4 linked regions of the Schizosaccharomyces pombe genome follow. Changing the gene in region 4 together with the main gene of any one other region gives a genetic interaction. Each region holds a gene or a part of one and is shown on either strand. Other genes may lie near its edges.

Region 1 (4,600 bases), 2.3 Mb from region 4:
GTCCATCATATCTGGGCTCAGTTTAGCTGAGCAGGTATGGAGAAATAGTAACGCGATTCGTACGATTGATTTACGCTCCACTTATACCAAAACTCTCACTTCTTTAATTATTGTAAATGAAGGAGATGAGCCTCAAAATACATATCGCTACTTTCAGCAGACCTCACCTGGCGAAAGTGTCTTGTCTCTCTCCGTATCGATAAAAGAGGAAGAAAAGAAAGGAACTAACCCTATAAAAGTTAACAACAATGTTTATGATATTCCTTTACAACCTCCTGTCAAACCTGGTGAATCTCGTACTTTATTAATACAGGCAGGTTTGGACGGTGGTGTTCGTCCTTTACCAGCAGCTGTGGATCAAGACGAAGAACAATATTTGGTTTACCTGACAACCCTTTACTTAGATAGTCCCTACACTACTGATCTTCAACGCACTCGTCTTATACTCCCTTCTGCTAAAATTGACACATATACTACGTATAATATTGATGGAGCTGAACTTCCCAATCGTGTTGGCAATACTTTGGTTTACGAAAGCCGTGAGACTATCACCGGGGAGGACAATGATTTAGGTGAAATCTATGTTCGCTATGAGCATACTGTACCTATTCCTCGCGGAGCTGATCTCTATGTTCAAATTGATATGCATGAATACCGAAAAATGTTAGAAGTCTCGGAGCGTGTGGTTTTTGAAAACCATGCTGCCAAGCTGAAGTCCAACTTCGATCGTGCCAAGTGGTATATGGGAAACTTTTACAATCCAGTTTCTACTGCTATTAATCGAGTCGTCTATAGTCTTCCTAGAAATTCCAAGGATGTCTACTATACCGATGAGGTGGGAAACATTACCACATCTCATATGCGAGTTGAGCCTCACCAGACATGGATCGAGTTAAATCCTCGCTATCCTGTATTTGGGGGATGGAACTATTTGTTCCAATTGGATTGGAAAATGCCTTACGAGGAGTTCCGCTCTTCCAAGAATAGAAGGGAATATCTTGATATTCCTCTGGCATGGTCACCTGGTGACATGATTTATGAGAAAGCCGTTTGGTCTTATGTTTTTCCCGAAGGGGCTACCAACATTGAAATTGAAATGCCAGTAGAAATATCTAATTCCAACGTTACTAAAATCCATAAATTTTTGGATACTTTGGGTCGCCAAGTATTTACTTATGAAGCTTTGAATGTAACCGACGGTGTCCCTTCCGATATTGTTCATATCTCTTATGAGTATAACAGTTCGGCCTTTTTCCTTCGAATTGCAATTATTACTACTCTTCTCATATTATTAGCTGCTGCAGCCTACATGATTTGGGCACCTTAAAAAATATTTTTACAAAGTCGATCAATCAAGCCGAATGTCCTTAAACCCATGTTTATGCTAGCTTAATATTTGCCTTATGTGCATCCGAAAATCGTTGACAAAAATTCAGTATTTGTCAACTGTCCTTCTTTTTCCCCTTCTTCCATTTCTTGCCTTCCCCTTATTTTTTATGAACTCTGTTTACAGCTTTTAGTAAATGTGATCGTAAATTACCCTTTGTAATGATTGATTGATTCAACCTATAGGTAAATTTATATAATTGTAGTTCAACTATAGTTTCACCATATCGATGCGCTTGTGTGCATTTGCTTGAAAGGCGAATAAATGCCACAAGTCGTTGTAAAGGTGATTCTAGCAAACCTGCTCTTCTATTTATTATCCTCTTTTTCTGCAACACTCTTTTCCTTGCATTACACTTGAAAGATGCAACATTAATAAGTAACATGCTACCTCAACATATGCCTGATATAATTGAAGCGATCCCAGTTAGACTACATTCCTTTACCACAGGGGCAGTTAAATCAAGTTGATAATTGTAACGTTGGTTGTAACCAACTAAATAGAGCTACTTTAACATTCATAATCTGATTAAGAGAAACCTGCATGCGCTTTGACCGATTGCCTTGATTTCGTGTTGCTAAGTTTGCTCGGAAGATTTAAGCGAGTACATTCTTAGGGTTGTGCAGTCAAATTCTTTTACTTTCAATTATACTCTCTGGCTCAGTTGATACTTGGCTCATATTGTTTATTTTGTGAAAGTTAATTTACTTTTTTTGCTTTTAAAAGGTACATATTTATTAATCTACTTGTGTTGCGAATTTATCATAATATTTTTATCGTCATAATTTCTTTTATTTATTTGAAATTATCCATTTTTTTCCCATGTCTAGCCAATCCTATTATATGAATGACTTGGATGATTTGAGATCATTAGAATCATCAACTCTTAATAAAAAAGATACCGCGATCAATGAATTAAATCCTGAGCAAAATGACACTCGCCGATCCACAGATCTTCTTTTAGAAGACAAATATGGGATTCAAACAGGGTTTTCCAAATATTGGAAGAAATGTACTTATGGAATCCGTGAGTATTGCAAGTTCATCGGCCCTGGATTCCTTATAGCTGTTGCATATATTGATCCAGGTAACTACTCAACCGATTTAGATGCTGGTTCAAGGTTTCAATACAAGTTACTGTTCATCGTTTTTCTCTCCAATCTGTTTGCTGTGTATTTGCAATCATTATGTATTAGACTTGGATCCGTAACGGGTATGGATTTAGCCAGAAATTGCCGCGAACACTATAATAGATATATCTGTTGGTCATTTTACGTTCTTGCAGAAATTGCAATTATAGCTACTGATATTGCCGAAGTTATCGGCACGGCTGTCGCGCTTAAAATTTTAATGCACATTCCTTTGGTAGCTGGCGTTGTAATTACCATCTTAGACGTTTTACTGGTCCTTATTGCCTGGCGTCCTGAAGGTTCTATGCTCAGTGTACGTATCTTTGAGACTGCTGTTGCTCTTTTGGTTCTAGTTGTTGCTATTTCATTTGCAGTCGTTTTAGGCCGCGTCCACATCGGGGGCGCTGGTACTGTCTTTAAAGGGTTCCTACCTTCTTCTACCGTTTTTTCAAGAGAGGGACTTTACAGCAGCATTGGAATTTTGGGTGCTACTGTCATGCCCCACTCACTATTCCTAGGTTCTGGCCTTGTTCAAACTAGACTTCGTGATTTGGATGTCCGTCGTGGGAATTATACACCTGTTGGTGATTGCTCTGATTACAGACCTACCCATGAAACCATTAAGCATTCTTTAACATATTCAATAGTCGAGGTTGCTTTATCCCTTTTTACGTTTGCATTATTTACTAATTCTAGTATCCTAATCGTCGCTGGTGCTGTATTTTACAATACTAGCGGCGCTGACACCTCCGATCTTTTTTCAATTTATGATTTACTGAAAGAATATGTGTCTATATCTTGTGGTCGACTTTTTGCCGTCGCCCTTTTATTCTCAGGCATGAGTGCAGGATATGTTTGTACCATCGCAGGTCAAATAGTTAGTGAGGGTTACATAAATTGGAATTTACGTCCTTGGCTTCGAAGAGTAATAACACGTGCTATTGCAATTATCCCATGCTTAGTTGTTTCGGCTGCTGTTGGACAGAGTGGTCTTAATCAAGTACTGAACGCTAGTCAGGTTTGTCTTTCTATTTTATTACCTTTTCTTACCTTTCCACTTGTAATGTTCACTTGCTCTCGAAAAGTTATGCGTGTTGTTAGTGATTCTACCAATGAAGAAACTGGACAATTGATAAGAGAAACTCACGATTATAGCTTAGGATGGACTATGACTATTGTTACATGGGCAATTTGGCTCTTTTTGACTGCTTTAAATTTATTACTCATTGTTTGGTTGGGCATGGGAGTCTCCTTCTAAATAAATTTTAGAACGCTCGTATTTTTCAAACGGCATGGTTATATGCGTACGTTCCTTTTAACATTTCCCCATAGCTTTCCTTTAATTACTACACTTAGTCCGAAATTTATTTATGTAGCATTTGCAAACCGCGTCAAGTAATTTGCGATGCTCTGTTGAAACCAAAGTTATTAACATGAAGCTGAGACATGTATACAAGTACTATCACAAATGTTTTCATGTACTATTATAATGAATATTTTTTAATAATTAACAAAAAGGGTACTTAGATGCAAATATGTAAAGTTTTCATATCGTAGTTGTTGAATTGATCGTCATCAACGTGGGGATAGTATGGTACCATAGCATCTGCACTTTGTACATAAGCAGAATTGTAGCTTGTCCAATAAGTGTTACGAACTTTACGACTCGGATGAAATAATCCTTGTACTAAATATGCCATAATTGGACCTACACCGATACAATTTCGGATGCCATCAATGCCTTCCCGAACGGCATTGATAACATGGGGCGATTCCTCCAAGATATTTGGCCATAGGATATTAAGTAAATGAATCATTGCGTCTTCAACACCCAAACCAACACAACCAAGAGACAAGTGCTTGATTACAGAAGCGGCGGTTTGCCGATGCACGGCATCGCGATCCATAAGCGCATCGGCTAAAAGAGGTGTAATGGCATAAACATAGTCGCGTGCTTGCTCACCAATGTATTCAAACATAAACGCTAATGACTTTAAAACACCATTCTGCACGTTCATTTCTGGAGTTCTGTAGTCTGCCATAAGTGCTGGTACGACTGTAAAAGGCATACATGTTTCTGCCA
Region 2 (3,497 bases), on a different chromosome or scaffold from region 4:
CAATGGATCAATTCCTAATGCGCAACCCAGTGTTCCTGGGCAAGCCCAACCTGCAGCCAAAGCAAATTCTGTTGGTAACACATCTTTTCCTGTTGACAGTAAACTTGCATTCCAATCCTTGGATGTATCTCAGCCGGATTTGCAAGCCAAACAGAAGATTGCATCACAAGTCATGAAACATGGTTTAAAACCAGAAGATCTCAAGTTACCGCCTTCTAAGAAGAAAAAGATAGAAAACTTATCGACAGTTCAAAAACCTAAGGATTCAGTCGTAAATACTCCTGATGTTATAATGTCAAGTGTAGATGAAATACCTTCTAGTGTTTCTCCAGGTACTATAGCCAAAGAGGAAGGAATGGCTAAAGCTCGGGAAGAAGCAATTGCTAATCCTTTGAAGTACGCAATCGATGCATTTGTGGCTGTAGACCATGAAGAAGAAGTTTCTGCTATCAAATCATCACAGACTCCTAGTTCTATTTTGAAAACACCTCAGTCGTTTTTCATTCCTCCGTCAACTCCAGATTTATCATTTACAGATAACAAAAACTCACTTAGTCCATCTAATATTTTGTCATTGGACGGAAAATTTTCATTTAATGATGATTCGGAGCTTTGGGCTGATTTAGGTAATGAAATCAACTCTGAAATCGGATTTTTAAAGGAACCAGATACCATGAATCTTGCTTTGGATGCAGATAAAGATAAGACTAAAATGCAAAATAAGCTTACTCAAATTAATTTTGATGAATCATGTTTTCTAGATCCAGCGATCGACGATAAAGATCCATGGAATGAAATGCTTCATGAAAAGAAAGTTTTGCTAAAGCAGCTTCAAGTGGGTAACGAAGATGAAGACAACATCGCATTTCCAACATCTACAAACATATGGCAAGTTGTGATTTAAAATTTTGTGATACGATGGTTCGCAATTGTTTTTTATTTATTTATTGCACGTCGTCTCAAAAAGCAAATTGGACATATTTGTCCTTCTACAATATCTTATGAATACCATAGACATATATTGTTTCTCTGTTTATTCAACGTTTCTCCATTTTTTGAAAGCATCTGTTATGTTGAAAATTGTGATTGGGAAAAGGTTTGTATAGTCCTTGTGTTTATATACAATGATAAAAATAGAACCTGAATTTAATATTTTGAAGATCCGGTTGTACCTTTATTAGGCACAATGCCAGAAAGTATGGCTTTTTCCCGATTAATGACCTGTCTATGAGACTCATTGTGAACATGAAAATGTCGGTATAATGAGGACCGTTACAAATTTTATTTATTCATACGTTTAAGTTGATTTTAGTTAATTTATTATTAGTGCACCGGTTGGTGTTGAAAATTAATTTGTAATCTCTTAAATGAATATTTGTATAGTTTTTAATGTTTACTATCTCAAATATTCTAAAAGTAGCTATCAGTTTATGTTTTTGCTTTGGTTCAAGAGCTTTGGTTTAACCTAACCGCCAAATAGCTATCTCGAATTACCATCTAACATGAGAAAACAAATTAATATTTCAAAACTCCCGATAATTTATTGAGCTTAATAATTAATTAAAATTTACGTATTATTGAAGTCAATAAAAGCTTTCTTTGTCTTCCATGAACAAAGAAACCTTGTGATCTCAGTCTTGTATATAACACGCTAACTCGTGGCCTACTGTAAATAAAAGTTATCTTACTAACGATATATTATTTCTTGATTCATTGAAATAAGAATCGTAGGATTTAACAATAATTGAATACAGAGATCTCCTAGCTTCATTATTAAGTACAAAATAGTCAATTAATTTTTTTATCAAGCAGATTAATTGCTTTTAAACTTACAATGAATGGTATAAGGAAAAAACCAGCAACCTTGCAACTCCATAATATAAAAACCAGCTGTTTCATTGATGGCAGTGATGATCAAAGCGATAGAACAAGGTCAAGTTCTGGAGATAGCACCTCTAATTCACTGAAGCTATCACATCATATATCTGACGAACTGATCAATGCCATATATAAAGAGTTAAAGTCGCCAGTATCACCTTGGGACAAAAACATTTCGCAGCATTCGCCATGGCTGTTGGAAGCGGCATCGAACTCCATTGGTGATTCAAGTCCTTTACTTTCACCAATCTCTCCATTAAAGTTAAGATTTCATAAATATTCGGTTTCGAAACAGCTAAACAGCGTTGGAAAGCAGGGTTTTGGTCTTTCTTCAAACCATAGTCGTTATGCCTCACCATCCTCCCCTGCACGGCTTGCAAGAGGTGCACTTGGTGAGGAACTTAGCAATTCGCAATACAGATTAGAATGCGCCGCAATTCAGAAGCTTGTTGCTCAAAAACGAGCCAATAGAAGGAGTAGTAAAAGCACTTTAAAAAATTCTGCAAATGATATAGAGTTTTTCGATATTGAAGAAGTTTCCTCTCGCAAGGGACTAATAGACAGAACACCTTCTAAAAGAAATGTTACTTCCCGAGTTTCTGATGCGTATTCTCGTCTTAAATCTGCTGTGAAAGGCGAATCAAGCTTGTCCTTTAAAAGAAACCGATCGAAATCGAAGAGGAAAATTCAGCACCTGGGTTTGACTGAGTTTAATGGGTGGGAACACCATCAGTGCGACTGGCTATAAAATAAGTGTTACTCAGATGCTCCATGTTAGGCTACATGGTGCTAGCCATGTGGTAATTAACATTCATTTATTTCCTTCATTACTTTCTTCCTTAGTCCTCCTATCTCTTATTAGCTGGAAAGCTTTTATCATTTGCATTTTTCTTGTTAATTGGTCTTTCATTTATCTCGTCGTGTGCATTGAGATTTCCTATTTAAGTTTACGACTCATATTGTTTAATCTAATTTATTGTTTGTTTCTAATTATTCTTAATTTACTACCATAAAATTAAATTACTTAAAATTGGATACGTTCTATATGGTATGCATACGATTGCAATAAATCTTTAAAAGCATTACCCACTAAAATATTATACTATGTAACTACAAATTGTAGATACCTTCTGAAATTGATGATGTAAACAACATATTTAATTATATACAATTCCTTTGCGCAGATTTTACAGGCTTTAAAAGCGAGTGAAGATTAATTTTATATATTTGTAGTCCTATTACGTTCATAAACAGATTTCTGAAACATTAACATAAACTGGGTGCCACAAAACTAAATTAGTTTAATCTTCTCATAACATAGATTTATTAGTATGCACACTGTGAATTATGAAACACTGACATTCAGTAGCCAAAAATTCGTAAATTATTAAATATCTAGTTTCCAATTTTCTACGTTTTTATTTGAATGTGCAGTTAATCTGTAAGTATTTCCTTGTTGTTGATTGTGACACTCTTAGTCATATTCGCCGTTTTATAAATGCCAACCAAACGAGAAGATAACTCAAACATATTACTTCTTAAAGAAATAACAATAAACTGCGCGTTTTTAGTTCTTTCCTTAATGTAATTCGCAACAATCGAAACGTTTTTAAAGTCTA
Region 3 (5,017 bases), 970 kb from region 4:
ACTGTCTACTAACTACTGATTCCAACAGATCCACGCCCACTACACTGTTCTACTCTACACACTTTGCGTGCTTGTCTGCTGTTACGATACCATCTACCAGCACATCCTTCCCTCGCCCCCTTTCTCAGCTACGGAACATCCCTCTACAACAAAGGACCCTTGAAATAGGACAACAACATCACCCAAAAAAGAAGGAAAAGAAAAAGAAAAAAAGATTCAAAAGAAAAAAATTACATTCCTAAAACTGATGGTGTGACACTATGGTTTTATATTATGACACATGCAATTTCAGTCGAGAAAGTTAGTCGAATCGTAAAAAAGTCAGTCGAGTAAATTTAAACGAGTAAATCAATTGAATATTGTGATTTTTTTTTTCGTCTATGTTTTTACAAAATAAAGGAAATTAAAAAAATTAAAATAAAAATGAAAATGAAAAATAAATTAAATAGTAAAAGCAAAAATACCGCGAGACCCTTACAAACTTGATGGAGGTCATTTTAGACGGTTTCGGTTGCTGCAGGCAATTCATTCACTTAACAAGTAAAATCTCCTTTCTTTCTCCGAAGGTGCTGCGAAGCCTTCCACTGCTGCTAAACACCTGATGAAATTCGGCAGTAAATGTAGACACTTCGTTATCCCAGCTTTTTTTAAAAAAAATTAATAAATGGTAGCCTTGCAGAATCCGGTTTAACGAGGCGATTTTGGCATGCATTATAATTGCTTTTCACACATGTTTTCCCATATCGTTTTCTTTCTCCAAGGCAAAATAGAGCGATGGATAGAATACATGCTATACATACGATATAGTCTATAGTCCATTTTGCATCTACAGATCCCTAGCGCACTACTCTGTTTTGTACAACCAAAAGTCCATCTTGCATCCATACAATCTTATTTACCACTTTTAATTTTTCATCCTTCTTTACCATTTTTTATTTCCATCCTTCTCTACCGCTTCTAATCCCTCTCCCATCCTTCTACTTTCGTTACCGTTTTGATGCGCTAACGATAAATAATACAACATTAGATTTTCTTTAACCTTCTTTCCATTCTCCTCAACACTTTAAATGGCCCACTTTAATAATTTTGCTTGCCCGGTTTTCCTGCTATTCCATTTGCTTGCCGTTACAATGTATCCGCATGTTTGCTCCTACTATCGCCGCATTGCGTTCCATTCCATTTTGCTATCGCAATTGCTCTGAAATCGGCTGCGTGCTAATTTTTGGACGCAAAGCTGCGATCATGGAATCTAGCTTCAAACTCTGGTATAAACCTTTTTTTAAACGCTTAAAAAACAACCAAAGTTAGTGCGCTCTCAAGCTTAAAGTTACGGATTTCCCCAAATCCGATATCTATTTACCGAGCGCAATAGTTTGTAAATTTAAAAAAAATAAATAATAAATAATAAATAAATAAAAAATTACACAAACCTTGAATTTGATCCAAACAACCTTTGCATCCTTTGTCGATCAAATTCCCATTCCTTCATTTCTTTTAAAAAAAAATTTTTTTTTCTAGAGCCGTTCCTTTCTCAATTCATTTTCGGGCATATTTATTTTGCTTCCTCTCTTCCTTCCTTTCTTTGTTTACACAAAAAACCATGATATTCCAATTGATCTTGCATGCTCATTTCTCACTACACCCTAATAATCCCTTTCCTTCATTCACTCTATCCTAAATTAAAAATTGCCCTTGCATCTTTTTTGTTTATCCAAAATTATTTAAAATTAGTGCATCAAAATCTTTTCTCGCAATTGCATTCCATCACATTACGTTTTATTTTGCTAATTTTTTTTCGACATCGCTCACTCCAATACTCAATATTTATTTACCATATTTTACGCATTACATCCTTAATGTTTTAATGTCATTGAGTTTATTCTGTTATCTGCTAATACCGATTTTACTACCTTTCTCCCTGTTTTCCATAAAACATATTCCCAACAGTGTCTTTAAATGACGTAGGGTCATTTCCTAGTAATTCATTATGTTCAGCACCTAGTCTCACGGTACCCTTTCTTCTACATTATACCGTTCTTCTTCAATTGATTCATGCTTTGATCTTTTGTTAATACCCAGTATTTATTTTTAATGATCTTATTTGAATTATAAAATTTTCTTTTCGTTTGCTTCATGTTTTGTTTTTTTCCTATCCAAAAATGTCTATCCCAGAGGAATCTGAAATAAATAAGGATTACACTGTTCAAGAAGGTAGGATGATTTGCTGTTAATTTTTATTACATAGTAATTTTACAAAACCAATTATTAACATTTTTCCTTTTTAAAATTTATAGATCTTGACGAATTCGCAAAATATACTTGTGTTTATAAAAAACGCCATGATGAAAAAATTGAGTACATCACTGCTCAACATGATTGGAATCCAGTCTATGAGGCCGTAGTCCCTCGCAAGTCAAAACCGGGTAAAGATGAAAAACGAGAGGGCTTTATGTATCCCATTCTACGTTGGCCCTTGATGTTTACTGCTTTCCTATGTCTAACCTTTGTCGCGTATGTTTATCTGTTACCCTTTACTTTATTTATCCATTTGTATTTGCTAACATCATCAACTTGCAGCTTTCTTTATCTTTTGGACCGTTTGTATATTAACTGTTATGAGTACTTTATTGTTTGGAGAGGCGAAGCTCGCAGACTTCGTAAACTCTTGCAAGAAGCAAAAACTTATGAAGAATGGAAGGAAAGAGCCAGAGCTTTGGACAAATATTTTGGTAATGACGAGTGGAAATTGGACCCTGTTTACGATTATTATGACTACACGCTCGTACAAGCTGTTTACAGCAGTTTGGTAAAACATCGAGAACAGAAAGATTGGAATGCCCTCAAATCTGTACTTGATGTTTGTGTGAGAAGTAATTTTGGTGGAATCGACAGCTCAATGCTATATTCGCGAACCTATAGCGGTACCAAAAAATTGGTGGAAGACTATGTTAATGAATTAAAGGTTTGTCTAGAAACCGTTATAGATCAACGTTTATATACGGCACAGGAAAGATCAAAGATGTTTGAATACTTTTCCCATAATTATGGAAGAACGGCCCTTTGCCTATCAGGTGGTGCTTCCTTTGCCATTTATCACACGGGAGTGTTGAGAGCTCTTCTCAACCAGGATTTGATTCCCAATGTCATTACTGGAACTAGTGGTGGCGGTCTTCTTGCAGCACTAGTTTGCACCCGCACCAACGAAGAGTTAAAGCAGCTTTTAGTTCCTGAACTTGCTTCCAAGTATCAATCAGATATCGGCAATTGGCTAGATGCTACGAAGCGGTACTTCAGGACGGGAGCTAGATTTGACGAAATTTTATGGGCAAAAACTTGCATGTATTTTACTCGTGGAAGCTTGACTTTTGCTGAAGCTTATAAAAGAACTGGTCGTATTCTGAATATCTCAGTTATTCCTAGTGATGTCCACTCTCCTCCTAAATTGATCAACTACCTCACATCCCCTGACACTGTAATTTGGAGTGCTGTTATTGCTAGTTGTGCCGTCCCTGGTATTTTAAATCCTATTCCCTTGATGACTCGAAGTCAGTCGCACAGGCTTATCCCTCACAATTTTGGAAACCGCTTCAAGGATGGAAGTCTTCGTACGGATATTCCTTTAAGTGAGTTACGTACTCAATTCAATGTCCATTTCTCCATCGTCAGTCAAACGAATCCTCATGTTCAAGTGTTCTTCTTTTCGCCTAGAGGTACAGTAGGTCGTCCAGTATCACACCGTAAGGGCCGTGGGTGGAGAGGCGGATACGTTGGAAGTGCCATCGAACAGTTTTTGAAGTATGATATGATTAAGTGGCTACATGTTATCCGTAGTTTAGAATTACTTCCAAGACCCCTTGGTACGGATTGGAGTAGTGTTTTTTTGCAAAAGTTTGATGGCACTATTACAATATGGGTAAGATTATATATAGCAAATGAAAATTTACAACAAGCTAACATTTTAGCCTAAAACAAAATTTCAGGACTTTTATTATATTCTCTCTCCTCCCAGTGTTGAACGACTTGGTTATATGATAGATGCGGGACAGGCTGCAACTTTTCCTAAATTAGATTTTATTGCTGCGAGAATGACTATTGAAAAGCTGATTGAAAAAGGTCGCATGATGGATAAGCCTAGTAAATTGGGTAGATCTATTGATGGTACTATCGGTACATCCATGAGTCGTGGTGACATTGAAATAAGCCAAGAGTCGGCTAGCATTTCTCCGGAAGATATTGACATTGTAAATTAAAATTTACTTGTTTAGCGCCTTTAAATAGTAAACTTTATACCTATTTTAACAAAGTGACATAGAAGTGTGCAGGTGACAAAATTATACTCAATTGAAAGAGATATATCATTATTAAAAATTACTTTGTTTGTTTGTGCTTATGTACATATAATTAATGTATTAAAAAAATTTCAGCTTAAGCGAATACTTTCGTCATTCTGTATCAAAAATATGTAGCAATTCTCGACCATTATTCATTATGTCTATTGTAGTGCATTAATCATAAACTCTTTTACTGCTCGCTCGCATTCATCAACCACAGAGTTTCTATTCCATTCGGACTTCGTATTCCAAATGATCTGGTACAAAAATGAATGAAGATGTAAAAGCTGGTCAACGGTGAAGCCTGTTGTTGAATCAATAAGCAACTGCTTCAATGGAGTAAGTCTGTCCTCATCAAACACCAAATCAGGGAATACCACCTCTTGTTCGATATTCTCAATATGACCATCAGCGGATGTAATATTATGGGCATCAGTAGGAGCATTATTAGGAACATCAGCAGGAGACGTGATGAGGGTGTCAACAGGGATATCAGCACGGCCATTAGAAGAGATATTCGTAGAGACATCAGTAGAAACACGTAATGCGGCTTCTGATGGAACGCCTACTGGACTCTTCCCATTTAACAATGGAGATTGTACTTTGTCTTTTTGATCAATATATTCGTCAGGCTTGGGAGACTCTTCATTCTCAACTAACATGGAAGGAACAGACATAGTAGACTG
Region 4 (4,387 bases):
TTTTAATGAAATTGAACAAATAATAATGATCGAATCACCCATCACCCTTGAAGAACAAATGGTTCTTTCTTTTACTCAAATTCGAGGAAGTATCCCCATGTTCTGGGCCGAAGTTAATGATCTTCATTATCGACCTTTATTATCTTTACAACCTCTTGATTATAGCGAGACTGTGTTTGGGAAGCATTTTCAAGAACTTGCCAACGATTATGGGGACAATCTTGTGGTGGTCAATCTTCTAGACCAAAAAGGACGTGAAGCACCTCTACGGTCTGGGTTTGAAAAATTATGTAAACGAAATAAAAACCCTCCTTTGTCTTATGTTTACTACGATTATCATAAGCAAGGAAGTAGAAATCTCCCTTTGTTTCTTGCTGAAATTCAAAGTCTCTTGATAGAAGGAAAATATTATGCCGAGCATGGATCTAAAACTACTGCAATGCAAACCAACTTTGTAAGGACAAATTGTATGGATTGCTTAGATCGGACGAACGTCATTCAGACTAGCATTGCACAGTTTATTCTAAACATGCAATTACACGATATTGGTGTACTTTCTAGCTCTGAGAGTTTGGAAGAATATGATAGTTTTTTACAAGATTTTCGCTTAATATGGGCTAATACTGGAGATTATATCAGTGATCTCTACACTGGTACCCCGGCCTTAAAAGGCGATGTGACTCGCCATGGAACGAGAACCATTTTTGGAGCTTTCAAAGATTTATTAAACTGCTTTCGTAGATATATTCTTAACAATTTTTTTGACGGTATGCTGCAAGATAGCTATGATTTGGGTCTTGGAGTATTTCGTCCTTACGACTCACTTTCGATTCCGGACTTGCCTTTGCGTTTTCACTGGACTAGATTTGTGGCACCTGGAATTTTTTTGTTCACCACGATAATATTAACTATACAAGAATTATTTGGAAATCCAAGTCTGTTCTGTCGTCTGTTATATTCTATCCCTATGGTGAATGCTGGAATCTACCTATATTTTCATCGTAGACAATACGTTAATTGGCCTCGTCTAGTACTACCAACGTATGCTAAGGGAGGTTGGTTTTCGTTTCGTAATCATTTCCGAAATATTACTCTTAAAGTGTTTCGTTTTTTGCGTTCCGGCTCTTTCAAAAAAAGTGTCTAACTGTGCATTTCAATAACTAAAGAACAGTATTGCTATAACTCTTAATTAGCAGAAAACGCTCTTTGAACACTCGAAGTTCACTCTTTATTTCATTAGACTTCATAGATGTCAATCTTGCTACTGAACAAAGCGATGCTACCCAACTTTATCAAGTGACTAATTCAGATCATTTTACGTGATTGGTAATTGTAACTTTATTTTCTTTAATTGCTCCAAGCTTCCTACCAATATCAATTAGTAATTTAAGATTTTCATAATTGTTAGAGCCCTTAACAAACTATTGTAGTATGGATAACACACGAAAAAAATATAGCAGACAAAATTAATATTTCTAACTTTTATTAAGTCAGTGTTAAATATTGGGCAACTTTGACCATTGAATCACTGAGGCTTTTGACTCAAGTTTTACTCGGTTTTAAACAGTAAATGAAATATATGAAAAAGCCAAGCTTTCTTTCAATTTCATAAGTGTTGTTCATGTTCAATATTTAGGATACATACTTCTTCCAATTTAGGGGCATTCTGGTTTAATATTTTCAATGAACATGTTATAAAAATGAATTTTTTAAAAGATCATACAGTTCAGCAACGTTTTCTAATACTTCCAATCCAGAATCTTAATTCACAATTCACATTACTGAAAAAATGATGAAGTTATGCCTTACCCGACAGTTTTTGTATGAAAACTCCACAATATTACGAAAATGATTATATACACTTTTACAATCAGCTTAGCATAATTATGCTTATAGAAATGGAAATGCTCACACTTAATTTTGAATATTATTTTAATAGTGGATTTAACTACTCCTAGTACCAAGTCAAAGACTTGAGATCACTTAATGTAGCTTACGGAAGCGTAAACATCTCTCGCAATAATACTGCGTAACGAAGACCTGCAATTTAGTATATTAAGCTTGAACTTACACGTATACCCCTCTTGTTTATGTTAGCAGGAGTGCAATGTTCTGAACTTGTATATTTTAAGCCGTTCTGTTAAATATTATTAATTTAATCGTTTTTCTTTTTAAAAATTATAGCTTTTTAACGCATTGACGAGTTCACTACATACTCTAAGGATACTTAACATAAGTACGAGTACTGCAAACCGTCCATCAAGCTCTTCAAGGCGAATCATACATTTCGAGCGAAATACGACTCTTTAACATATATTCATTATTTAACATATTCACTTAATAATTCAACCCGATTCTGGCAGGATTAGCAACCTGGTCATATTCTTATGATTTATTCTTTAATATTTGTTTGCAACATAACCACACCCAAAATTTAAATTAAGAACTAACTTTTTTACATTAAGATCGAACATGAAAGACATTGAAGGACTTTTGGGCCTATGTGTTTGCTTTGTGGGGTTACCCGCATCTGGCAAGACATCTTCTGCAATGAAATTATCCAGATATTTGACATGGATGTCCGTTTCTACTCACCTTTATGATACGAAAGAAATTGATAATTCGTTGTCCGAAAATTCTAACAGTGATTCAGAGAATTTAGCTAAAACTCTTAGCCCCATATTCGATAATCTGGAGAGCGTTTTTAAAAAGGGTACTGATGTTGCGATTCTTGATTTTAACCAATGTACACTAAAGTTTCGGAAAAGTATAGTGGAGTTGGCAAAAGCGCGGAATATGCTCTTAATGTTTGTCGAGGTTGTCTGCACAAATCAAAAAATTATCGATGAAAACATTACTGATATGTGTCAGCATTCACCATATTTCAAAAGCTTTCCGTTCGAAGAATCGAAGAATAAAATCCTTGATAGTATTCATGAGTATGAGAAACACTACACACCTTTGTCCGAGGCTGAAGAATGTACTTTCGTTAGAATTGTGGACTTTGGAGCCGAACTGATAGTTCATAAACTTGAAAATTACCTTGAATCTAGGATTGTTTATTATCTCTCTAATTTGCGTACGCGTCGACGAAGTATTTGGCTAAGCCGACATGGTGAAAGTCAATTTAATGTTGAAGGAAAAATAGGTGGTGACTCAAGCTTAAGTCCTCAAGGACTAAAATATGCTGCTCTTCTTCCTGAATATGTTGCTAAGTTTTCGATAGGTGAAAAAGGACTTACGGTTTGGACATCTTCAATGGCTAGGACTATCCAAACTGCTCGACACCTTAATTGCCAAAAGCTCGAATGGAGAGCACTGGATGAATTAGATGCAGGAACGTGTGATGGTTTTACTTATGATTATATTGAACAGAATTTTCCTCATGAAGCCGAATTGCGAAATAATGATAAATTTCATTACAGATATCGTGGCGGAGAATCTTATATGGACGTAGTAAGGCGGTTAGAGCCGATTATTATGGAGTTAGAACGACAGGGAGATGTTTTTATTATATGTCATCAAGCTATTCTTCGTTGTATTTATGGATACTATCATAATCTTTCACTTGAGGAATTACCATTTATTAATGTTCCTTTACATACAATAATTAAACTCACTCCAATGACATACGAAACGATAGAGGAGCGTGTTACAGTCCCCATTTCTGCTGTTTCTACTCAACGCGGCAAACATTGAAAGAAAATTCTTCATAATGTGCTGATTTATTCCTTTAACGTTGATCAGAATTTTTCAAAGGTTGTGAATTATTTTTTAATAATAAAATGCAGCATTGATGACTTCAATACAAAATTATTTTTTTCAAAGTTTATTGTTAATTATTCTTCCAGTTACCTAAAGTTCGTATCACTATGCAGATAGCCGAAAGTATTTACTGTACGTGAACAAATCTTTTAAACGAAAATAGAAAGAAAAAAGTAGTTTACTCGGAACCATCAATTGGTTGTGTATGTCATTCATAAAGTTGTTATCTTTAATGCACTATGAAGCATTTAAGACATGAATGGCAAAATTATCTTTTTTTTTTCTAGAATCGAGCTTCAACCACGTTTTACAAAACTGTGGCTGTTGCTCTCGAGATCAATCAAAGTTATACGGTATATACTTTCCAAATAATTAAGCAAGGAAGGATAGCAAATCCATAATTCTAAAGATATCGAAAAACTCACAAAATAGCGAACAAAGTATTAGTAGTTAGAGTACTTTTTGATTAGCCTTAGAGAAAGTCAACAAGATAAAAGTATTTGATATTAAACGTCGCTTTTATATCATATTTTTTAGCAGACTTCTTCAATTTAAAGTCATTAAATAAATCCTATCATCTTCAGCTAATGACAGGACAGAATAAAACCCTTGACATACTCGA

What was found.
Region 1: mutations in fpb26 (region 4) and pdt1 together harm fitness less than expected from each alone (positive genetic interaction), as found in Schizosaccharomyces pombe (one large-scale study listed by BioGRID).
Region 2: mutations in fpb26 (region 4) and SPOM_SPBC146.02 together harm fitness more than expected from each alone (negative genetic interaction), as found in Schizosaccharomyces pombe (one large-scale study listed by BioGRID).
Region 3: mutations in fpb26 (region 4) and ptl2 together harm fitness more than expected from each alone (negative genetic interaction), as found in Schizosaccharomyces pombe (one large-scale study listed by BioGRID).

The regions. Positions count from the first base shown.
Region 1 is NC_003424.3:4,329,130-4,333,729, forward strand, and holds pdt1 (Nramp family Mn(2+) transporter), read left to right. Parts: upstream 1-1,830; 5' UTR 1,831-2,209; coding exon 2,210-3,775; 3' UTR 3,776-4,037; downstream 4,038-4,600. Other genes in the region: dolichyl-diphosphooligosaccharide--protein glycosyltransferase Ost1, read left to right, coding at 1-1,327; prp10 (U2 snRNP-associated protein SF3B1), read right to left, coding at 4,041-4,600. UniProt on the Schizosaccharomyces pombe protein: Transports manganese ions into the cell. Regulates cell morphogenesis through control of manganese homeostasis.
Region 2 is NC_003423.3:999,177-1,002,673, forward strand, and holds SPOM_SPBC146.02 (uncharacterized protein), read left to right. Parts: upstream 1-1,674; 5' UTR 1,675-1,834; coding exon 1,835-2,626; 3' UTR 2,627-2,986; downstream 2,987-3,497. Other genes in the region: mediator complex subunit Med15, read left to right, coding at 1-904; cut3 (condensin complex SMC subunit Smc4), read right to left, coding at 3,313-3,497.
Region 3 is NC_003424.3:3,027,466-3,032,482, reverse strand, and holds ptl2 (triacylglycerol lipase), read left to right. Parts: upstream 1-2,023; 5' UTR 2,024-2,159; coding exon 2,160-2,211; intron 2,212-2,294; coding exon 2,295-2,511; exon of another isoform or gene 2,512-2,577; coding exon 2,578-3,913; intron 3,914-3,962; coding exon 3,963-4,250; 3' UTR 4,251-4,477; downstream 4,478-5,017. Other genes in the region: ATPase histone chaperone Abo1, read right to left, coding at 4,493-5,017.
Region 4 is NC_003424.3:2,058,563-2,062,949, reverse strand, and holds fpb26 (fructose-2,6-bisphosphate 2-phosphatase), read left to right. Parts: upstream 1-2,063; 5' UTR 2,064-2,472; coding exon 2,473-3,699; 3' UTR 3,700-3,887; downstream 3,888-4,387. Other genes in the region: sac12 (inositol polyphosphate phosphatase), read left to right, coding at 1-1,144.